4 linked regions of the Ovis aries genome follow. Each later gene encodes a partner of the first gene's protein in a complex. Links are inferred from orthologs where the notes say so. Each region holds a gene or a part of one and is shown in the gene's direction. Other genes may lie near its edges. The genes, in order: DAB2IP, PAK1, DCP1A and ARHGEF6.

The links.
Region 2: DAB2IP (region 1) and PAK1 share a complex: the UniProt entries of both Homo sapiens proteins name them as parts of the cytoplasmic complex. The link is inferred for Ovis aries from reciprocal best matches to the Homo sapiens genes DAB2IP and PAK1.
Region 3: DAB2IP (region 1) and DCP1A share a complex: the UniProt entries of both Homo sapiens proteins name them as parts of the cytoplasmic complex. The link is inferred for Ovis aries from reciprocal best matches to the Homo sapiens genes DAB2IP and DCP1A.
Region 4: DAB2IP (region 1) and ARHGEF6 share a complex: the UniProt entries of both Homo sapiens proteins name them as parts of the cytoplasmic complex. The link is inferred for Ovis aries from reciprocal best matches to the Homo sapiens genes DAB2IP and ARHGEF6.

What each region holds. Positions count from the first base shown.
Region 1 is NC_056056.1:14,108,687-14,114,276, reverse strand, and holds part of DAB2IP (disabled homolog 2-interacting protein), read left to right. Parts: intron 1-97; coding exon 98-652; intron 653-3,554; coding exon 3,555-3,699; intron 3,700-3,790; coding exon 3,791-3,935; intron 3,936-5,590. UniProt on the Homo sapiens protein: Functions as a scaffold protein implicated in the regulation of a large spectrum of both general and specialized signaling pathways.
Region 2 is NC_056074.1:16,104,171-16,110,426, forward strand, and holds the start of PAK1 (serine/threonine-protein kinase PAK 1), read left to right. Parts: upstream 1-2,430; 5' UTR 2,431-3,129; intron 3,130-3,611; exon of another isoform or gene 3,612-3,748; intron 3,749-6,256. UniProt on the Homo sapiens protein: Protein kinase involved in intracellular signaling pathways downstream of integrins and receptor-type kinases that plays an important role in cytoskeleton dynamics, in cell adhesion, migration, proliferation, apoptosis, mitosis, and in vesicle-mediated transport processes.
Region 3 is NC_056072.1:47,784,069-47,789,658, forward strand, and holds part of DCP1A (mRNA-decapping enzyme 1A), read left to right. Parts: coding exon 1-392; intron 393-2,318; coding exon 2,319-2,384; intron 2,385-4,112; coding exon 4,113-4,331; intron 4,332-4,636; coding exon 4,637-4,717; 3' UTR 4,718-5,590. UniProt on the Homo sapiens protein: Necessary for the degradation of mRNAs, both in normal mRNA turnover and in nonsense-mediated mRNA decay. Removes the 7-methyl guanine cap structure from mRNA molecules, yielding a 5'-phosphorylated mRNA fragment and 7m-GDP.
Region 4 is NC_056080.1:98,427,759-98,434,145, forward strand, and holds the start of ARHGEF6 (rho guanine nucleotide exchange factor 6), read left to right. Parts: upstream 1-2,814; 5' UTR 2,815-2,825; coding exon 2,826-2,990; intron 2,991-4,194; coding exon 4,195-4,278; intron 4,279-6,387. UniProt on the Homo sapiens protein: Acts as a RAC1 guanine nucleotide exchange factor (GEF).

The sequences.
Region 1 (5,590 bases):
ACCAGCTCTGAGCACTCTTCCCAGCTCCGGGCTTGGCAGGGGACCAGGCGCCAGGCTCCTGGTAACTGCGCCCCTCTCCCCGCCCATGCATGTGCAGGACAACAGCCGGCGTGTGGAGCACATTCTGAAGCTGTGGGTGATCGAGGCCAAGGACCTGCCGGCCAAGAAGAAGTACCTGTGCGAGCTGTGCCTGGACGACGTGCTGTACGCGCGCACCACGGGCAAGCTCAAGACCGACAACGTCTTCTGGGGCGAGCACTTCGAGTTCCACAACCTGCCGCCCCTGCGCACAGTCACCGTCCACCTGTACCGCGAGACCGACAAGAAGAAGAAGAAGGAGCGCAGCAGCTACCTGGGCTTGGTGAGCCTGCCCGCCGCCTCCGTGGCCGGCCGGCAGTTCGTGGAGAAGTGGTACCCGGTGGTGACGCCCAACCCCAAGGGCGGCAAGGGCCCCGGGCCCATGATCCGCATCAAGGCGCGCTACCAGACCATCACTATCCTGCCCATGGAGATGTATAAGGAGTTCGCCGAGCACATCACCAACCACTACCTGGGGCTCTGCGCTGCCCTCGAGCCCATCCTCAGTGCCAAGACCAAGGAGGAGATGGCGTCAGCCTTGGTGCACATCCTGCAGAGCACGGGCAAGGTGAAGGTAGGTGCCCGGGCCTCAGGCGGGACGCCGCCTCCCGCGGGCCCCGTGGAAGGCTGGGGGACAGGCACCGGATGACCTGCCGGTCCCCGCGTCCACGTCATGGATTTCAGCTCTGCTGGAGGCCCCCGTCATAGCTAGGTGGGCCCCCTCAGTCTGGAGCTGGCTAAATCTGGAGCTGCATCCTGAAGGGTGGGGGCTTTGTGCACCCCCTCCGTGGTTGGAGCTGATCGCAGAGGCGGGTATGGAGCCCATGGTCTGTAACATGGCTTGCAGCAAGGAAGTGGCTTTAGGGCCTCCCCACTGCCGGAGAGGGCCGGCCCCTCCCTGAGGCTCCAGGGGAGCAGGCCACGAGGCCCACCTCTGCAGGCACATGGGTCCCAGTGACCCAGACACACATCTGGTGTGTTAAGTTATCACACATTGCAGCAGGTGACGGCCAGGGTGCAGCCGTTGTCTGAGCCCCAGACTCCCCCCAGCTCCCAGTGCACGCACACGGGACACACAGTCACTGTCGCAGCTGTCTGTTTGGAGGGCAGCCGCCCCAGCTCTGGACCCCCCTGGAGCAAATCTTGCCCGAGCCCTCCAGCAGGCCCTGCTCCAGGGCTGGAGGGCCCCTGCTGTCCTCCCCACCGCCTTCCACCTGCCTCCCTGCCAAGCCACGCCCAGCCCCACCCACTCGCTCCTCTTTGCAGACAGGTCGGCTCCTTCTGGAAGGCTCTGCAGGCCTACCTGCCCAGCACAGCAGAACATGGTTCCACCCTGCCCCCTGCCTTGGGGGGGGCCTTGAGGGAGCTCCTCAAAAGGGGTGCAGTGGAGAAAGGCTGAACGTGGGGTCTATCCACGCTGCAGAAGGCTTTGGGTGCCTTCCCCGGGGGCGAGCCTCTGCTCTCCAGACGTCGCATGACTTGTGGCCTGTGGTGGGGGTGAGGGACTGCCCTCCCTGGTCAAGGTCCCGAGCCCTCAGCCTGGGCTTGGAGGGAGACACAGGTTGGGGGTCAGGCCTCAGCCCCCAGGCAGAGCCCAGGGTGCGCAGTCTGTCAGGGCTCTTATTCTCTCTCTCTGCCTGATCCAGAAGGCCCTGGCCTCCTTTGGGCCCTTCAGAGCCCCTGCCCATTGGGCTCATGGTGGGGGACCAGGAGAGGTACTTCTCCATGGGCACGGGGCACTCCATTCCTCTGTGCTTGGACCACCTCCTCCCCTGGAGAGGGAGGGAGACCAGAGGGAGACCAAGGGAGGCAGCAGGGGCTCCAGCGGCCTCCTTTCTGCCTCTAGGTCTGTCCTTTCAGTAAGCGGCCCCCGAGGGCTGGGCTGGGCTGGGAGGCTGAGTCTGATCTGAAGGGGCCTTTGCTCTCAGGCTCATAGCTGAGACAGGAGAAATCGGGGTGCTCACTGTGCACCGGGCCTCCAGCTCCTCAGCGGAGCTTCTGTGGGGTGCTGCTCCCCAGCAGCACATCAGGCTGCTGGGGTGACGTGCATCTGAGCTCTGAGCCCCTGGGGAGCTAAGGGGTGAGATGCCTCTCTCCGGAGCACGTGCCAAGGGCTCCGAGTCCTGGGAGAGGGCCTTGGGTGTGCTTTGCCCCCTGTCATCTCCCTCCGCCCCCCCCCCAACCCCCCCCCCCCCACCCCTCAGTGCAGTAGGAGAAATGGGCCCTTGCTAACAAGACACTCAGGCCAGATTTGGTCCCGGTAGCTGTGTGGCCTTGGACAGGTCAGTTTCCTGTTCTGTGCCTGTTTCCCCACCACCACCCCCAGCCAGGTCCTGGCTCTAAGAAGAGCTCCTCCTCACCCCCGCCTGGGCCTCACACCTACCCCAGGAGCTCAGGAGGGCTGTGGGCATGAGCAGAGCAGTACACGCAGTACTGACGTCTGTTGTTCTTTGTTCAGAGAAGGAGGCCCTAGAGGTCACTGGTGGTCAGGAAGGGTCCTCAGGCTGTGTGGTCTCCAGAGAGACCAACTGCCTCTCCCCCACCCCGGCCCTCCTATTTCTCCGGTGGCCAACCAGGTCTCCAGGGCCCAGAGTTCGGTTCTGTATTTCAAGGCCCACTTGTGATTTCGAGGGCCCTGAAGTTGGGCATGTTGGATGAGGCATTTCTGGAGCATCAATAGCCCCGGCACAATGCCAGCCACCCGGCCTCTGCGCTGGCCGGCCCCTGCCCTCTGCCCCCACTGCCCCCGGGTCCCTGCCTCCTGCCTGTCTTCTCCCCAGGTCACAAGCCTGGCCGTGGGCGTGAGGAGGCGCAGCCTCCGAGGTGGGGGGTGTTTCCACCTGGAGGGGTGCAGCAGGTTCCTCTGAGCCGCCCCGCAGTCAGGAGGGAAGGCGTGGGCTCAGGCTCCCTCCTGGGTCTGCCCGGGAGCTGTGCTGTAGCCAGGCCACTTCCCATGCGAGCCGAGGTCCATCTCCCTCTGTCTGAGCCCCGGCTCACTGCCTTCCAGGGCAGCTGGCCTGCTTCTCCCCCTTGTCTTCCTTCCTCGTGAGGCTGCACAGAACAAGCCCTTGTCTGGCATGGGAGACCTCATCACAGTGATGGGTGGACGGTCGTAGCTGCTTGTATGAGGGGGCAGGGCAGCCTGTTTGTCCTCTTTAGCCCTGGGATGGGGGTGCTCTTTTCAGTCACCCCACCAGGCCGGGGCAGGGCTGAGCAGAGATTTGAGTCCCCCGGGTCGGGCCATCATGCGGGGGCTCTTGCCTCCCTGATCCGGGGTCCAGCTCAGATGTCGCCGTGTCCCCTCATTAGGCTGCCCTGCTCTCATGCCCCAGAAGCCCCCACAGGTGAGACCCAGCAGCCTGGTGATGGAGCAGCCTCACAGAGCAGGGGCTTCTGGCCAGGGAGCGTGGGTCTGGACCCCTGGGGCCTTACCTGCCAGGCCTGCTCAAGTCCACTCTCCTCCCCTGGCTCCACAGGACTTCCTGACCGACCTGATGATGTCAGAGGTGGACCGCTGTGGGGAAAACGAGCACCTCATCTTCCGGGAGAACACGCTGGCCACCAAGGCCATCGAGGAGTACCTCAAGCTGGTGGGCCAGAAGTACCTGCAGGACGCACTAGGTAGGGGGTGTGGGCTGACTGGGGGCAAGAGGGTCAGGGTGGGGCATGCCCACTGGGTCCTCACCGCCCCCTCCTGCCCTCTCGGCCACAGGAGAGTTCATCAAAGCGCTGTACGAGTCGGACGAGAACTGTGAAGTGGACCCGAGCAAGTGCTCGGCCGCTGACCTCCCCGAGCACCAGGGCAACCTCAAGATGTGCTGCGAGCTGGCCTTCTGCAAAATCATCAACTCCTACTGGTCAGTGCTGCCCCCACGCCCTCTCGGCCTCCACTGCCCAGGGTCCCACCCCGCATCCCTCCCTCTCGCCCCATCCTTCTGTAGGCTGGGTGCCTGGAGTATGCTGGGCTCTGGGCTGGCCTCTGAGGGCATCATCCCATCCCGAGAGCTCGGTGGGGAGCCCTCCTCTGTCATTCCCAACAAGAGAGCTGAGGTTTAACAGGGAGAGGGCAGGTAACACAGCTTCAGATTCGGGGCCCTGGGATTGGAACCCACCTTCTTCTGACCCCGCTGAGTCCAACTGGTCCTTTCTGGGCTCAGACATTGGAGTGTTCCAGAGTGTGTAGGCAGGACATGGTCTGTGCATTGTTGAGGATTCAGACCTGGCAGTCCCGTACACATGTTGGACAGTGGGTACTGCCTGGCACCATTGTAGGTGCTACAGCTGGACAAGAAGCCAGATGCACAAGGCTCTGCTCAGGTACCCCTGGGTGACTGGATGGCTTCACCTGGGACTCCTCACCTGGCAATGGAAGCTGGTGCTCAAGTTACAGGCTTGGGGTGGCCCCAGCACGCACCTGTGTGGGGCCTGGACACTGGGTGGGCCTCCTGCTGGGACCGTAGAGAACCGAGGAGGAGGACTGGGCTTTATTAGGACCGAGTTCTGTGGGCCCCTGGCGGCCCCAGAGAGGAGCAGAAGTGTGCAGGGCAGACTGCTTTTCAGGACTGCAGTCTGGGCCACAGTCAGTCCCGGGCCATTCCATGCAAGATGAACATCCCGGCATGTGTGAATGGTGGCCACTGAGCTAGTACAGCCTCATCAGAGATGGCTGTGTGACTGTCCAGGGGACCATGCTACCAGCCCCCAGGAGTGGCTTTATTTTCACACTGGAGGAGCTGCCCAGGTTTTTCCCTTGGTCCCTGCTCCAGCTCAGGACCTACGTTCCCTTCCCCACCTGAGTGGCTCTCCTGGCCCCGTTCCCCCGTCCCACCTCTGGCCGTAGGTTGCTTCTCTCTTTGGTCGCGTTCTTTCCTGTCCTGCTGGAAGGCCTTTGTCTGGCTCCCCTTTGTGGCCCTTCTTTATCGTGTCACCAGAGACAGTCGGCTTACCCCCGCAGCCACCCTGGCTCACAGCTCTGTTCCCGTCAGAGTACCTTGAGCACCCCTGGTATGGGCACCAGAAGGACCTGGTTTTTCTGCTCCCGAAGGACGGGCACAGGCAGAGGCAGGCCTGCAAGGAGACGACAGTCTTGGGTCAGGGCAGAGCCGGTGGGGTTGACGCTGCCGGCGCAGGTCCCCCTGCCCCAGGGTTACACAAGGTGCTCACTGGGGCCTCCCTGGCCCTTTGGGCTGAGCTGAAAATGACCCTTGGCACCGGACCAGGAGGGACAACCAGAGAGTTTGAAGTCTGGAACACACTTCCCACTCTTGGGCTGTGTTTTCACCCAGGGCGGGCCGGGCGTGGGACACAGGGAAACATATCCATGGACAGTGGTTTTCCATTTCCTCTTTCTGGCGTTTGTGAAGGCCCCTCTCAGTTCTGCATGAGGCCGTTGATAGATGTTATCACTCAGCGCCCGCCCCCAGGCCTGTGCCAGGCGCTTCGGGGGCCAGGGCTCAAGGTCACCTGCCCTCACTTCCTCTCTGGCCACATCCTTGTTGTTCAGCCACGTTCA
Region 2 (6,256 bases), on another chromosome or scaffold:
TTTTTAGGGAGCCATTTTGTGGTGTTGGAGAAGACTCTTGAGAGTCCCTTGGACTGCAAGGAGATCCAACCAGTCCATTCTGAAGGAGATCAGCCCTGGGATTTCTTTGGAAGGAATGATGCTAAAGCTGAAGCTCCAGTACTTTGGCCACCTCATGCGAAGAGTTGACTCATTGGAAAAGACTCTGATGCTGGGAGGGATTGAGGGCAGGAGGAGAAGGGGACGACCGAGGATGAGATGGGTGGATGGCATCACGGACTCGATGGACGTGAGTCTGAGTGAACTCCGGGAGATGGTGATGGACAGGGAGGCCTGGCGTGCTGCGATTCATGGGGTTGCAAATAGTCGGACACGACTGAGCGACTGAACTGAACTGAACTGATTATTCTGCCCACCATTGAGACTATCCAAAAATAGTTTAGAATTAATTTACTGGGTTATGATCTTGGGTTCAGTTACTTAACCCCTCTGCACCTCGGTTTCCTCACCAATAAAATGGGGGGGTGGAGGATAACAGTAGACTATCTCAGAGGGTTGTTAGAGGTTTAAAAGAGATGGTGCTTAGAACAGTTACCTGGCACATGGTAAGTACTATGTGATCATTTATTAAGTACATTTTCATAACATATTATGTGTCAGGCATATTCTAGATACTGGGGATATGGATAGTATGGGTAGGAATATAACTCGCTCTAAAGGAGCTCAGGGAGTCACATACACAAATACAGTTACTACACTGTCTGTTACATGCCATAAACGGCATGAAGTACTATAAGATGACAGCATTGTGAAGGCTCAGAGAAACTTAAGAAATATTAATTGAAAGAACAAAGGAACAGGACGTTTGAACTGGGCTTTGTAGAATGAATAGGCTTTGGCCAGTGAGATAAAAGAGAAGGGCTATAGACATGAAGAAATGTAAGTTCAAAGAACATTAAGTAGCATTTCAGTGTGGCTGGAACAAAGTATATACCATGTGAGATGAAGCTAGACAAGCTGGTGTAAGCACCAAGGTTGTACAGTGCTAAATTAAGGAGTTTAGATTTTATCCTGAAAGCAACAAAACCCTTTCAGAGTATTTAAACAGGGGAAGGCATCAGATTTGTGTTTTTAAAAGGACACTCTGGTTTGGGAGAGAATGGATACATGTATACATATGGGTGAGTCCCTTTGCTGTTCACCTGTAAGTATCACAACACTGTTAATTTGCTATACCCCAAGACAAAAAAAAAAAAAAAAGAAAAAAAGAAAAAAAAAAGAATAATCTGGTCATTAAGAATGGATTGAATCTGGAGACTCTGAAAGCTGCTCCAGTTGTCTAGGTGATGGTGATGAGTGAACAGAAGGGCAAGAACTTGAGAAATATGTAGGATACTCTACAAAGACGGTGACCAATCTGATGAGTGCTCAGCGAGGAAGAATGGGGGCTAAGTTCAGGTTTCTGGGTCAGTGAACTGCTGAATGACGGTCCATTCTCTATGATCAAGAAGTAATGTGAGTCACAATTTTGAGGGGAAATGGTGGTAGGAATAGCCAGCATTCCAAACGACTTAATACGTTTTAAACTGCACTTAACTATTATTACAGAAAGGATACAGGTACTACTTACAGAGAAACTATGGCTTAGAAATGTTAAAGTCGTATCACTAACATTTGTATAGCTGAAATTTGAAACAAAGCAATCTGATTCCAAACCCTTCCTCACTAATGTTGAACGTTTCAGTTTTGGTCGTATGGAATCTGACTTACAGAGCGGGTATGCAAACACTACACTGGAAAACGGAGGAGGCACTGGGAAACAGAATCCGAGCTCAGGCAAAAGGTTTGCGTTGAATGTAGCCTCCTTTATAGGGAAAAACTAGGAAAAGAAGCTCATTCTTTTTCTGTCAGTAACAATTGAAACCTCCATTACCATTTCTTTGCCTCCTTCCCACCGCGCCCCTCCCCCGCCCCAAATCCAGTATAATAAACGTCTGGCTCTGAGGTCATAGGAGATGGGGAAGTTTCCAAATTCAGCGCTTGGCATCGAGCTAGCGGATGCGGAGAGGACCATAAGATAGGGGGTGAGCCGTATTCTTTGACCATGACTATACCACTAACAACCCTGAAACCAGCCCAAAGCCTTCTGCCTCGAAGGAGCCCGAAGCAGTAGACCTTGCGCAGTCAGAGGAGAGAGGCGAGCGCAATGACGTCACGGGCAGCCGGGTGCCTTCCCCAGTCTCTGGCGTCATGCGCCGATGACGTCATTCCAGGAGTGGCCCTTCCCCGCCCCCACGCCTGGCTGGGCCTCGCTCACGTGGGTCCGTCCTGTCCTCCCCGCCCCCTCCCACCTGCCGGAGGTGGGGCGGGCCGGGGCTCCGCCGGCGCCTGTGCCTCAAGGGGAGGGGCGGGGGCCGGTGGGCGAGGCGGTCCGCCCGGCCAGCGGCGTACAATAGCTCGGCTGAGGTGGGGGAGGCGGCTCGGCGGCCGCTGCAGCTGGAGTCCAAGGTGTGGGCAGCACCGTAGACGGCCCCTCACGGTTTCGCCCCCACACCCCTTTCCCTCTCTGCTCGTCTGTAGCGTCTTCCTCATCGACTCTGCCGTCCTGCCCCAGACGCTTTTTTCCCTCAGACTTTTTACCCCCTCTTTCACGGAGCCCCGCGCTCTCGAGAGCCCCTCAAAGAGCTCTCTGTCTCTCCACCTCCTCCCCCAGAGGCCACCCGAGCTCCTCATATCTCCGAGCAAGCGCCCCCCGCAGCCGCGTCGCCTAGGTCCCTCCGCCTCCCCGACTCCAGCCACGGTCGCTGACCCCCTCCCCCCCACCCTCGCCCTGTCCTGAGGGGACTTCCCGGCACGAGCGGGTCGGGAGGCGCCGGGCGAGCGGCGGCGGCGGCGGCGGGCGGGAGAAAGTGAAGCGGCCCCTTGCGCACACTCGAGCGCTCACTCCGCGGCTCGGCCGCGGACACCGGGGTGGAGAAGGAGGAGGAGCCGAGTCGAGCCGAACAAGCGCGGACGGTGAGAGCCGGCCTCCCGCCCTGTACCCCTGGCGTCGCGGGCTGCCGGGCTGCGGCGCCGGGCTGGGGGAGGCGCGGGGCGGGGGTTCCGGGACCCATTCATTCCCCGCCGCGGCCGGGCGGATGCGGGCGCCAGGTGAGGGAAGGCGGGGGCGTCTCTTTCGAGGCTGGCCATTTCTGTCGGACCAACAAAGGCCCCCGGTGTAGTAACCCGCGTGGCCGCGGGTCTCTGACGCCTGGGGACCCAGAGAGCCAGGGCAAGTCAGCGGAGGGGAGACCTCGCAGGTCCGGCTCCGGGAGCGACTGCCTCCTGAACTTTGTGGTCCTCGGATCCTAACTCTGGACCGCGCAGGGGGACCTAGCAAGGCGGCGACAGGTTCATTGTGCACAAGAAAAGTCACCTTTGTCCTGGCCGTGGGGATCACCTATAGAGTTGAACTCCTTGAAAAATACGAGTGGACAGTGCTTGACTTATGCCGCCCCTCCCCCACACCGGCAATACTCTAAACCTGTGGCGTTAAAACACGGGGAGACGAGATTTGGAGTTATTTTATGTTTCTTATTCCACTTCAAAAGACGTGATTATTATAACCTTTACTGTCTTGAATATTTTCACAGCAAACATTGCTGGGAGTGTTTTGGAAGAATACTTGAGAAGTTTTGCGTGTTGAGAGCAAAGTGCTTTTTGTTTGTTTAGCCCTTTGGATAACTGTCTTGCGCTTTTCCTCCCAGGACTGTGAAAGGTGATGAGAAGGGTTAGTAGTTTGGTTACCAATAAAAATTTGAAGTCACTAGTCTAACCTTTAAGAGTTGTTCCTAGAAAAATCTTTAATCTTGCCTACTGTGTCTTTGTGCCCTGTCTAAACTTTGTCAGGGGAAAAGAGGAGTCGACAGTACACAAATACCTCCTTAGTCTTACCTCATGACTTCTACTTCCTGTGTGACCTTGAGCAGGTCACTTCCAGTTTTAAAGGCCCGGGAGTTTGCTTGTTTGCTTTTGTGCTACTTAGTTTTCAAGACTTTACTGAAGCACCCCCGCCCCACCCCCCCAACTCTGGCCAAACCTCCCATGAAGTCTTTGCTGGCACCCACCCCCATAATCCTTTCAGGCAAAACTTTCTCATTGAGTCCCTCAGAGGTTTGGTAGGATTTATGATACAGCACTTGTTAACACTTTGTTGTTGTTACTATTTGGAAAATCCTGAATCAGGTGCATATGAAATCCACCTCATCTTAACTAGAAACTCTACTTCTCAAAAAAGAGGGTGAGATGTATGGAGAGAGTAACATGGAAATTTACAATACCATGTGTATTGTAACTGAACAAGGGAAACTGGAACAGAGAACTGAAACAGGGGCTCTGTGACAGTCTAGAAGGGTTGGATGGGGAGGGAGATGGAGGGAGGTCCAGGAGGGAGGGGGCATGGGTGTACCTCTGGCTGATTCTTGTTGATGTATGAGAGAAAACCACAAAATTCTGTAAAGCAATTATCCTTCAATTATAACAAAGTGGCAAAAAGAAAAAAAAGGATTTTTGAATGATAGATCATGAAACATTCCATGAAGCTTATCCAGTTAACTTATGGGTCTGTCTGGTAAATTTGCTTATTCAGTCATTCATTTACCCAATATTACTGGAGTCTGGAGAGCTACTGTGTTTCAGGTCTCCTGCTAGGGCTGTGGGGATTCAGAAACTGTTAAGACATTCCCTGTCTGTCAAAGAGCTCAAAGTCTAGTGGGTGAGGTAGGCTTGTAAACAATGAAGGCCTTCCCTAGTCTCTACAACAGCTGTACAGGGAGTAGTGTGCAATAATTGAGGCTGCTGGACCTGTTTTACAAGTCTTGTCCTGGTCAAAGTGAGTCCCAAAAGGAAGGTAGTGACCTGCCTCTCTTCTGTGAGATAGCACTTGACAAAGAGCTTTTTTGAACGTATATTCAATTCAGTATACATTTACTAAGCACATGGTATGAAGCCCTGTGTTAAATTTGGAGGAAGGACTGCTTTCTAAAAGGAGGTGGTTGTTCAGTCACTAATGTGTCTGACTCTTCGCAACTCCCAAGGACTGCAGCAAGCTAGGCTAGGTTCCTCTGTTCTCTACTGTATCCCAGAGTTGGCTCAAATTCATGTCCATTGAGTCAGTGATGCTATCTAACCATCTCATCCTCTGTGGTCCCCTTCTCTTTTTGCCTTCAGTTATTTTCAGCATCAAGGTCTTTTCCAGTGAGTTGGCTCTTCACATCAGGTAGTCCAAGTGTTTCTAAAAGGAAGGCACTATATATCCAGCCCCACTCCTGACTAGTCATTGCCTAAAGATAAAATTTTAAACTTTTTGATACGAATAAGAAGCTCTCAGAAATTAGAGTACTGCCTGCCTTTGCAGCCTCACTTTCTACAACTTCCTTGCCACCCTCTTCTCATCTCTGCTTTTGCATGTGCTGTTCTGTCTAAAATGCCATCCTGCACCTGCCTATGGAGAAGCACTTATACTTCTGGGAGAAAAATGAAAGTGTCCCTTAGTTTTTCCTCCTATTACCTCCGTATAATGAGTTGCTTTTCTGTTCCCGGGCTTTTATAGAGACCACTCTTATAGATCTCTATAGCACTTTGTTGCAAATTTTTTTGACTTTATCACATTGTTGCAAATATTAACCTGTGAATTTTTTGAGGGCAAGATCTCTTTAGTCTTAGTGCCTTGCAAAGTTTCTGGCACTGAATAAGAGTTTGAAATGAATGTATGAGTGAAGAAAGCAAATCAAGGCCCTTGAGTTTGAGATTACCTAATTCTTTGGGTTAGAATAATTTTAGCTCCAAGTGTAGTCCCTGTACCAGGATCATCAATAGAATCTGAGAATTTGTTGGACTTGCAAATTACTTGTCCCATTCCAGACATACAGATGAAAAACTCTGGGGTTGGGAACCCCAGATATTTAACAATCCTCCACGTGATTGTGATACTCGCTAAAGTTTGAGAACCACTGTGTTAAATGATCTGCCTTTAATAAGACCATTACCTTGCCACCTCCCTCCCTGCTTCCTTTCTCCCTGCCTCCTCTTTCTTCCATAGCACAAAGTGCCTGACCTTCCATTCCATTTCCTTCCATTCTGTTCCATTCCATCCCATCTGTTCCATTCTGTTCAGTTTCATTCCATTCCATCCTATTCTATTCCATTCCATTTCATATCATCTGTTTTTCTCACTTAACTGAAAGCTTCCTGAAAGCAGAGAATTTTGTTTTATTTACTTCTGTAATCCCAGGGGCTA
Region 3 (5,590 bases), on another chromosome or scaffold:
GACAGGCTCCCCCCAGCCTACCCCGAAAAACCACCATGATGCAAACAGTGAAGACTACACCTAGGCAGAGGTCTCCACTCCTGAGTCAGCCTGTCCCCGAGCTGAGCCACGCCAGCCTGACTGCCAGCCAGAGCCCATTCAGGGCCCCGCTGAGCGTGACAAACACAACCAGTCCATCTCTCCCAAGTGTTGATCTTCTCCAGAAACTCAGGTTGACCCCGCAGCATGACCAAATACAGACACAGTCACTTGGGAAAGGTGCAGCAGCACCCAGCTTTTCTCCAGCAGCCGGCCAGCTGGCCACCCCTGAGAGCTTCATAGAGCCTTCCCCTAAAGCAACAGCAGCAAGAGCCTCAGCCTCCCTGAGCAACATGGTGCTTGCTCCCCTTCAGGTACTGGCAGGAGATTGGGTGGCTGTAACCTAGTGGGATGAAACTGGATTTTGATTGAGAGGAGACAGAGTTGTTTAAAGAGACAACCGTTGAGTGTGTAAGGGGCTAGAAGAAAGGAGAGGTGAGAAGCCCTGCAGTGATCAACCAAACCATCGGTAACTGGTGGTGTAACTCAGTTCCACTTCCCAAAATAATTTCAGCTGATAAAAGCTGAGAAATTGTATTTTCCTTCCTGGGTGTGCATTTTAGCGTTTTTTTGTTTGTTTATTTTTGCCTGACACGTCTAGGAGTCCTTATTTGACTCAAGACCATGGATCCAGATTATCCCAAGCTTTGTTCCATCCCCTGCTCCCTCAGTACTCTGACTGAGTGCCTGCCTTGTGCCAGGTGCATTAGGGGTGCCATAAGAGCGTCCCACATCTGGAGGTCTGAGGTCAAAGAAAGCTTCCTCGGGAAACTGGCCATCAGCTGAGATCTGAAGACTCAGTAGAAATTAGCCAGACCTAGAGGTAGGAAGTGTGTGTGAAGGCAAGGAAAGTAGCAGGTGCAGAAGCCTAGACACGAGAGGGCATTTGCTGAGCTGTGGTGTGACTGGATCTATGTGTAAAGAAACATGGGGGAGCAGGTATTGGTGATGAGTAAAATTTTGTAAATAGTATCAAGGAGTTAGAGGTTTGTTCTGAGGACCCTGGAGAGTCTTTTAAGTGTATGAGCCAAGGGTGGCACGCTGGGAAAGGGGATGACAGAAGGACGACAACCCATCAGAACGGAGGTCGGGGCAGTCACCCAGGCTTGAGCGGGTGGGGGCCTGTACTGGGCAGTGTGGACATGTGGATTTATTAAGAAGGAGGATGAGCGGGACTTGGTGGGGTTTGGATATCGGGGTGAAGAAGAGGTTTGTCCCTCAGTAACTTAAAACGTTGGTGAGTTTACAAATGAGGAAATCAGGTCACAGTTGAAGTGACTTGTGCAAGATCACAGAACTGAAAGGGGGTAGAGCCTTTCAAGGTTTTAGTCTCATGCCCTTTAATCATTACAATCCCCAGCTCTTGAACATTTTACCAAATAATATTAATACTGGCTCTTCTGTATAATATTATCTCTTAGTTAATGGAATGCTTTGTTCCATTCCGTTAAAATTCTGTACAGAAAAAGAAACCTGGTGTCCTGGTTACATGATTAAATTGTCATATTTGCCGTTTCTGTCTGCAGTATAAGGAGCAGCGAGAATGTTCTGTTTGATAAAACATCCCTGAAATGTGTCTGCTGCCACTATTCCTGTTGTTCTAGAAATACAGCCTGCAGTCCTGAATACCGCCCCTCTAGATTTGGCCTCTGGGACAGCACCCTGCTCTCCAGCATGCCTCTGGCAGAGGAAGCTTACAAACATGTTCTTTCTCGTTTATGTGCCATATCGAATTTCAGGACCTGGGACCGCACTGAGTCCTAATGTATTTGCTCTGCTACAGGAGCTTCTGTGTCTCCCAGGGAATAGGTATAGCATTTATCTGGAAGTGTGTGGCTCTGTGTGAGACTGTTTAGTGCCACCTGTCAGAGTGTGAACCACCCTATCAGGAGGCTTCATGCTATCAGGATCTTGCGTCTCTACAGTCTCAACAGCAAAATATGCTTGGTCTGTCCCCACTCTTATAAGAGACCCAGGTTTCAGCTTTTTCTGTAGAGACGTTTTCAAGGCTTTGCACACCCCTTTTCTCCAGTGGAACTGAAGAGGGTTGGGGGCTGTCCTGAAGCTCCTATCCTGCATTGTGACAAATTCTGGTCAGCCACTTCCCTCAGGAATCTAGGAACCAAGTCATGTTTGAACTCCTCCTTACAGCTGCTAACCTAGATTTTTACCCCAGTAACTAAGAAATCTTTAATGAAAAGTTGCTACATCTGTTCATCTTTTCTGTTTAAACGTTGCAGTCTATGCAGCAAAACCAGGATCCTGAAGTTTTTGCCCAGCCTAAGGTGTTATCCAGTGCCATCCCGGTAAGGATCCCCTTTTTCTAAAGAGCATAGTATGTCTTAAGTTCTTCTGCTGAGTGTAAAGTGAAACATTTCAGCTTTCAAACTTAGGCCCCTCTTACATGTCCCCTCCAACTCCCGCAGGCAGAGCTCATTGCTGTGGCCTCTGCAGTCCTCAAGTCATCCGTCCTCAGTGATGTCTTCCTTGAATGTGTGTATGGGAGGGCAAGGTCGGCCACGGCAGGGGTGCTCACTCACTCCCTCTGTGTTGTGAACAGGCGACTGCTGAGAGCAAGTCAGCCCCATCCCTATGGATAGGAGACAGTCTTTGCCCTGGAAGAACTATGGTGTCCCAGTAAACAAGGCAGTGTCACCACCCTGCTCGATGGCTTCCCATTGCCCTGTTGACAGAACCTCCCAGGCCTGCGTGCTCTGTGCCTTGCTTCTTCTCCCCTGCCTCATTTTTTACAACTTGTCCTCATCCTCCATTCCCTACCAGCTTTGACAGGCACACTCATCTTTTTCAGTTCCTAAACTTTTAGGTTCCTTTTGCCTTTGAGCCTTAACACCTCTCCTGAAGCCTAAGAGTTTAAACAAAAGCCACCTTCTGACTGGTCTTAGCAGGTCTTCTTTGTAGCTTGTCCTGCTGCGTGGTGATCGGCTTACCACTTCTTGGTGATCTCTCAGCCCGGTGTTGCACCAAAAATAACCACAGATGGCTCAGAACCCAGAAACTGCACTCTCAAAGCTACGGACAGCTTTGGTTCTTTATAAATGAGGAAGGTGACAGATAGGAGGGAAAAAATACATAGTTTTCTTGTTGAGTGTATCAAAATATGAGAATTAGTAAAAAAAAAAAAAGGGCTTCCCTCAAAGCTCAGTTGGTAAAGAATCCGCCTACAATGCGGGAGACCTGGGTTTGATCCCTGGGTTGGAAAGATCCCCTGGAGAAGCGAAAGGCTACCCACTCCAGTATTCTGGCCTGGAGAATTCCATGGACTATACAAGTCCGTGGAGTCTAAAAGAGTCGGACATGACTGAGCAACTTTCACTTTCAAAAAAAAATATTATTACTCTTTTGTGTATTCTGCTGGTTAGCCATTGTTAGCCCAGAAGTATCTCTAAATGAAAGAAGGAGGTAAATGTTAGTTTTATGTTTTTAAAATTGTGTCTTTGATGACTGTGGTGGCATAATAAATACATTGAACACAACTAAAGAAACTAATGCTTCAAATAATTTCATATAACTGATGCTTCATATAATTCTTTTTATTGAATTAAAATTTATGTATAATGCAGATTTCTTGAATTGAGTTTTAATACACATATATCTCTTGGGCAGTGAGAAGTTATGTAACACTTCCATCACCTCAGATAGTTCCTTCACACCCTCCTCCAAGCATTTCTGTGTCCCTCATGGGAAAACTTGACATATTCAACTTATCTCAGGACTGTTCTTACTGTGCCTTATCAGATTCCCTTTCTGTAGTGATGGGGCTTGGCGTCTCATAACAGCCCGGGGCCACCCTTATCATGTAAATGGGCTCCTCATCCTTCAGTGAACAAGCTTCCTAACCAGACATTGCGTGCTTAGATGCCGCTTCTGGCCCTTTATCTGAACTCTGAATAGTCAGCATCGGGCTCTGCTTTCCTGTCTCCTGCTGCTTGTGCTTGTTATCAGCGTCCCCTCCTCTGGGCCTGGCTGCTGGCTCCCACACTCTTTGTTGCAAAATGGCCATTGTTCCCCTGCAGGTGGCAGGCCCCCCTCTGGTTCCGGCAACAACCTCGGCAGCGCCCTCAGTCCTGCTGTCCCCCAGTGTTTTCCAGCAGACAGTTACAAGGTCCTCAGACCTTGAGAGGAAAGCCAGCTCCCCTTCTCCTCTCACTGTTGGGACGACAGAAAATCAGAGAAAGCCTTCCATTATCCTCAGCAAGTCTCAGCTCCAGGATACATTAATACATCTAATCAAGGTATGTAAAATATTGGTTTAGTCTTTGGATTTTCATTCTGTAAAAAAATAATTATATGATTCTTTAAAAAGTCAATTCATAAAGAAAATCCAAGGCCAGCTAGGACCAGTGTTTCTCTCTCCCTATGGGAAAATTCTCAAAGTGGAAAAATAGATCTGTGTGAATTTCAAAATATTCCTCATGATTGTCTCTGGGTGGTGGGATTCTTGGCATAATTAGTTGTACAGAGCATGTATATAACTTCTTCCTAAGCTGTTACCATGACAGCTCTAAGGAGGTAACCGTGACCTGACCATCTCTTCCAGAATGATCCCAGCTTCCTCAGCACACTTCATGAAGCCTACTTACAGGTTCTGACCAAGAACAGAGACAGCCACAACCTATGACTAGAGCAGAGTAATCCTGAAGGCAGGATGTCGACCTCAGAAGCAAGCAGGCCTCATCATGGAAACTTCTAAACGGAACATTGAGCTTTGAGAATTCTAAAACTGAGCCTATGAGAAAGAGACTCGTTGCTTAAGAATGTTTTCCAAGTGACGTTCTCAGTGATAATGGAGGTTTCACTGTGAAGCATCACCAGCAGACCTTTGTTTTGGGGGGGAAAAAAAAGACCATTGTGTTCAGTTGTGTGGGTGTGGGTGTTTTCATCAGCTCTAAACAAGTTTGTGAAATAAGGAATCTGATTTTCAGCTCACTTTCGTATTCAAGGTCTTAGGGAAAAGAGGTCACCAGCCCTGCGGCAGTCAGCCCAGCCCATACCCCCATTCCCCTCCCGCACTTCCATCTAAAAAGTTAAGCCTTGGGCTGGTAGTCATGTTCTGAACAGAGCAGAAGTCAGCTCTGTGCAAAGTAGCTTCGCGTTTTAAGGATCAGAGGTTAAGCTGGCAGATTAGGACTGGTTTGTTCAAGTGAGGTGTATTTTATACGAATGCCCGTTTGGGGCCTTAAAAGTTCTGAAGTTTATTCATTTGTTCTGATTTTAAGTGTCCCCGGGGATGCCATGCAGAGGGCTTCCACTGTGAGGATATGTTTGAATAGGGCCCTGCCGGCCCTGTGCTGAGGTGGGAGCAGGCGTGGTACACCTTTGAAGTAAAGGCTGGGACTGGTAAGACCCAAATTCTATCAGAAATCTTCACTTTCAGTTAAACTCTCCAGTGGTTTTGAAAATGTTAAGCTTGTGTGTGAATCATAGCCTTATTTTCCTTTTCTGTCTAAACACAGTGAGAAGTCATTGTTCGTTGTTTCCCTTAACACTTTGA
Region 4 (6,387 bases), on another chromosome or scaffold:
CCACCTTTACTTCTGCCATTTTCTTCTTGCAAGCTTAACAAGGTAACTTTTGCATAGTGTTTTATTTTTTCATACTCTTACGTAAAGCCTGTGCTTTGTGCTGCTGTGATCTCCTGTCTTTCAGCCTTCCACTCTGTTCCCCCAGGTCCTTAACTTCTTTTCACTGCCTTGGGTTCCATGGCTAGTCATTTCACCTGTATGGTTGCTACTGTCCTGGAATGCCTTGCTTTCTTGACATTTGCCCATACCAACCCTAACTTCCAATCTTTATACTAGTAGAAGTGTTTTTCTGCTTTGAGATGGTCTTGCCTTTCTGATTTTACTCTATTGCTTACAGTCGCTTGCGATAGCCAATGTCTAAAATGAGGCAGATTTTCACCCCAATAACCCCAGTGGGCTCAAGCCTATTTTGAACGAGGCTGGATTCCTGAAATTACCCAGGCTTTATTCTTCAACAAAAAATGTAAGTGATACGTCAATAATACTGCCGGATTTGTTTGTCTGTAGGATACAATTCTGATGAGCATTTGTGAGAAAACTGGTCAAATGAGATATCAAAGTATATTTAAGCAGGTTACATTTAAGAATTTCATTGATCAACACATGGATTTTGGTTTTATTTCCATTACATAGATTTGGTCATGGATCAAAAGTCAATGAAAACTTTTGATTGACTATACTTATTTTGCTCATAAATATAATTATATCAAACTGAATATCTGGAGGTCAAATCTTTCTTATAGAACTATTGATAGATACAACAACATGAATGAAACTCAAAGGGATGATGTTAACTGCAAGAAACCAGACAACAGAAAGTTCCATATTGTGTGATTCCATTTATACAAGATTCTAGAAAATGCAAACTAATCTATAGGATTGAAAAAGGTTGTTCATTGTCTGGGATTTTAAGGGAAGGGAGGAAAGATAGGGTTGAAAGGGCACAATAACACTTTTTGGGGATGACAGAAAAGTTTTTTGAATTGTGTGTATATGATTGTATCATGGGATGTATACCATATGTCAAAATCTATTAAATCATACATCTTAACCATATGCGATTCATTATGTCAGTTATATCTCACTAAAAGTACAAAAATCATTAGCAAGGAAAACATGTTGGTTTTAAGTCAAAATGTCTGCTGTGTACCAGGCACTCTGCTGGGGACAGTGTTCATCAAGGCAGACAAGACCCCTCCCTTAGTGGAGGCTACATTCTGGTGGAGGAGACAGATCAACAAATGACAATAGTCAAGTCTGGATAACTGTTATGACAAGGTAAAAAGGGGAAGCTTTGAAAGAATGTAGCCAGATTTTTTAAACAAATTTTTATTTGGTTGCACCTGGTATTAGTTGCAGTATGTGGGATCTTCACTATGGCATATGGGATCTAGTTCCCTGATCAGGGATGGAACCTGGGCCCCCTGCATAAGGAGTGTGGAGTCTTAGGCCCTGGACTACCAGGAAAGTACCCCAAACATGTAGCAGGATTATCTAAGCTGATTATTTGGTAGTAGATGCCTGTCACTGTATTGAAAAGATTCTGAAAGTTAGCATGATCCCATGCATCAGGAGAGGGTAGGGAGTACCATGCATTTGCCCAGATCAGGCTATACTGTTGGCCTTATCATAAATTTCCTAATCATGTGGCTATTATAACTGGTTATGAAGATGTTTTAAGAATAGTGTAGATCTCTTGTTATAGACCAGTTTTTTTCCAGAGCAATATTTTTAAGGCAAAGTGTTTCTTGTTGGGGAAACATCAACCTTCAGACTGTAGTATAGACAGAGGACAAGTGTTCTTTTGTTCTCAAAAATTCTGTTTCCAAGTGCTTTTTACTCGCCGATATGACTGTGTCTGAGCCTTTGCTAAGGGCACTGCAGCTGGATTGTGTAGTGGAACCAGGTCCAGAAAAAGAATCGCTCAAGAATGCAAGTAAACAGGATGTCAGATGTTATCCTTAGTCTATTTCCCTAAACATAGCTTTTTGGCTGCAAAGTAAAATGCCATTCTTCTAGTTTGTGCTTACACAGAGTGATGGCTGACAGCAGGCACAGTCTTCATCTGCTTGGCACGTTGTCACCGTGCAATTCAACGTGTTTTGCAGAGGAATGATCATGACACATTATCTCGGTGAGACAGTAAGAGGACATCCGGCCATTTCTTGGAAGAATTTTCCCAGCTTACCTTCTCTGAGCCCTGTTGTGCCAGCACAGCTCCCCATGAGGCTCAGATCTGTCTGACCTAAGAGCCAGTTGGCATCTTCCTCTTGACAGAAGCCAGATTTTCACTGGGGCTAGACTATTTATTGACAGCATTTTCCCAGACTGGCCCATGAGTATCTCATTTCCAAGGTCCCCTGAAGTGCTGGCTCGCCTCTGTTTTCCCAGAGCACTCACTGCCTTCTCTTTCCTCCCTCCCCAGCATCCTGCTCACTTCCTTCCCTTACAGCTTCTTGCACTGTTGGTTTTTTTTTTTTGGGGGGGGGGAGGGGTGTGAGTGTGTGTATGTATTTCTTCTTTTTTTTTTAAAAAAAATCCTAATGAATTTGTTTTGCAGCTTTTGAAAAAGAATCCCAGTGTTATCCAGGATTTTCCCCTCATTCATTCTATTTCTACATCTTTGAGTGTGAGCTCTGTGGTTTTCAAATCCCAGAATTGGAGTGGCTTCCACCGTTGTCTAAGGAACGTTGTTTTAGAGCTTTGCTCTGCAAGCACGAGAAGAGAACTCATAAAAAGGAAGACAACAGCAGATGCAATCGCGGATGTGGCTTAGTCCTTGCAGCTGCCCCAGAGAGGTGCTCGGGAGCGTTCAGTCTGCAGTAATGAATCCAGAAGAGCGCGTCGTGACCTGGCTCATATCCTTGGGAGTATTAGATTCCCCCAAAAAGACCATCTGTGATCCGGAGGAGTTCTTGAAGTCCTCTTTGAAAAATGGGGTAGTGCTGTGCAAACTGATCAACAGATTAAGGCCTGGCTCTGTAGAAAAGGTAAGGGAAATTTGCAGTATCTTTAGGGTTGCTCACCACCAGAGAGCAGCGGTAATGTCACTCTGGAGATTTTCGGTTGCCTGGGTCATGGGACACTCCTGCTTTCATCTCTTTTTGAGATTTAACCGTTCTTTCTTACTGTTTTCATAGTCGGAAAAAGTCAGAAAATGAAAGGTTTTCCTTTAGTGATTGGCCACTAGAGGTTAGTACAGTAAAAACCTTTGACACCACTGGTACCAGGGGACAAGGAGAACACCCCTGTCACGAGCTGGCTCTGCCACAGAGACGCGTGTTGTGCCTCCCTGTGCACCGAGGACATGTTTTGAACCTGAGGTTCATGTGAGTCTGTGGAGTAATGGGATGATTTGTAACAGATATTCAGGGTGCTTATTGATGGTATGACTAAATTTGCTGTGGATTTACTTCTCAAAGAAATAAAGTATCCATTGAAAGAGAGGCTATTTAGCAATCAGGAGAAATAATCCAAAATGTCACAATGGGTTTGTTAAAACAATAGAAACCAAATATATGTTTTGAATGCAACACGTGTTCAAAGTGAAACTAACCTTACTCATTTTTAAAAATCCAAAATTGTGAAGGTTGGAAACCCATGATCACCAGTAAGAAAAATTTTTAAAATGGGCACCTTAATCAAGTTTAAAAGTGGAGCCATAAATTATTTTCTTAAGGTCAGCAGGGAATGAGACACTGAGTACAGTTCATTTCCCTCCTTGAGGCAGTGTTTTTATTGAACATACCGATTTACTTATAATTTCTCAAACTTGGAAAACAGTGATAAAATGGAAAATGTCGAGAAATGTGATCAAATGTAAAGAACAGCGAAGAGGGAAATACAATTTTAATACATTATCATGAGGAGGATGGAGGGAAATGATAGGTTGAAAGCAGGAACCAGGATGAAAAAAACTTGCAGGGTCTCTCTAATTTGCTATCACCATGCTTTGCATGAGAAAGTTTATAAGTGGAGATGACTTGGGGCTAAGGATTTGGTGACATTTGGAACAAGACCAACCGTTTAGATTTTTGCATCACTTCCTTCAGTGGTTAATTTCTCTTCCTGGATTGACAGTAATGTTGGCCCCACCTTAAAAAGCCTACTTTATCTACTTATCAGCGAATGATGCAATGATGTGTCCCACTTGGGATGACAGTCTCCAAGTGATATTTGACTGTGTTTCTTTAGTACTGTCTGGAGCCCCAAACTGAAGCTGACTGCACCAACAACATCAACGACTTCCTGAAAGGATGCGCAGCCCTTCAAGTGGAGGTAAGCCCACCCAGGTTGCCTTCCTTGTGGTCATTTTTCACTCTGCTAATGAATATGGTGTCGTGGTAAAAGGCTTATTTTTACTGTTAAACCGAGGAAGCATTTTTATGGAAACCATGGTTAAGATCGATGGTCCCCAGTCATGGTTTGCTAGTTTGTTTGTTTGTTTATTTTTTTTCCGGAAACCAATTCCAAAGCAAAACAAAATCAAAATTCAAAATATGGTAACTTTTATCTTACTGTATAGCACAGAGAACCATATTCAATATCCTATGATAAACCATAATGGAAAAGAATATTAAGAAAAAGAATGTCTGTATATGTGTAACTGAATCATTTGGCTGTACAGCAGAAATTAACACAGCATTGTAAATCAATTAAAAAAAGACAAAATATGGTACCATTTAGAAACAGCTCCCAAAATTTGTTGTATGACTCAAGGAATTCAAACCAGGGCTCTGTGACAACTTAGAGGGGTGGGATGGGGTGGGAGGTCGAAGGGAGATTTGAGAGGGTGGGGACATATGTATGATTCATGTTGAAGTATGGCAGAAACCAACACAATATTGTAAAGCAATTATCCTCCAATTAAAAATAAATTAAAAAAAAAAAAAACCACAGCTCCCAAGCTCTGAAAGCAGGCTTTTGGTGCCAGAGGTTGTATGGTATGCGTCCCTACTAAGTGGAGCCCAAAGTGGGCCACTGGATGCTGCAGAGGGTTACTGTAATCCTTTTGAGTTGGGAAGGGTGGAAAGATTATAACCACTTTTCCCTACTAACACTTTAGAACAGAGGCCATGAAAGAACTTGGCCCTGAGGTAGAAATTGTATATTAAGTTACACTGTATTCCTTTATGTTATGTGGATCCTTGCAGTAAGTATAGGGGGTGTTGCTGAAAAGGAGGTGACGCTTTTGCTTGTATGTCACATTATTTAATGTCTCTGTACCTTAGTGTTTTAATCTGTAAAATGGACACAATAATAACTACCTCATGGGGCTGTTTTAAGGATCAAATGAGATACTGCATAATAATTTAGAGCTAAGAGCTTGAAATTCCAAAGATCTATGAAGTAACGTAGGTAGAGTACTCAGCACAGGACCTGGGGTGTAAGAAGTATAGACATGCATTAGTAGTATCACTTGTGGAGAAATGTTAGTACTGGTTTGAGCCTGGACTCTTCCCTACTGGCTCAGACAGTAAAGAATCTGCCTGTAATGCAGGAGACTCGAGTTCAGTCCCTAGGTTGGGAAGATTCCCTGGAGAAGGGGACAGCAACCCATTCCAGTGTTCTTGCCTGGAGAATCCCATGGACAGAGGAGCCTGGTGGGCTACAGCCTGTGGGCTTGCAAAGAACTGGATACAACTGAGCGACACTTTCACACACCTTCTGATATTAGACTACTTGGATTCAAATCTCAGTTATCTCTTGCTAGTAGCTTTGTGACCTTGGGCATGTTATGGCTCTGTGCCTCAGTCTCCATACCTGCAAAATGGGAAGAATAGCAGCACCTGTCTCATGGGATTGGTATAAGGTTTCAAAGAATTCACATCCTTGGAAGAGTGCATGGCACACAGAAAGTTTTCTCCAAGTGTTAGTTAACTACTAGTGGTACTAGTACAAGTAACTTTTCCCCAGATAAACTTTGCTTTCTTCAGAGTTTTTCTGAAAGTTAGCCATAGCATCAAGCTATGCTTGTTTCAGAATATTTTATTCCAGATTTCCGTATTGCCAAATTTTAGCTCCTTCCCTCTCTCTCTCTTTATCTTTCTGTGTGTGTACCTGGGCGCATGGTGTGTATGGCTTTTAAGGCAGGTGCAACCTACTCTATATCCCTTATGGAATGATGTCTGCTACGAACAGATCATGGCATTTTCTTTTCATTTGTTAAATAAAAACATTGTGAGGTTGCCAAAGATTTATGCACTCTGAAGCTGTCAGAAGGTATATTGAGTTTCTATATGGTTCTAAGAATACTAGGTGATACAGAAACACCTCCTGGGTCTGGCATTGTTGGAGAATGAGTCTTTTCACATAAGTGGATTTTTCTGATAACTAATGCTTATTCCATTAAGCACCCATACTTAAAATATTTTTGGCCACTTTGGA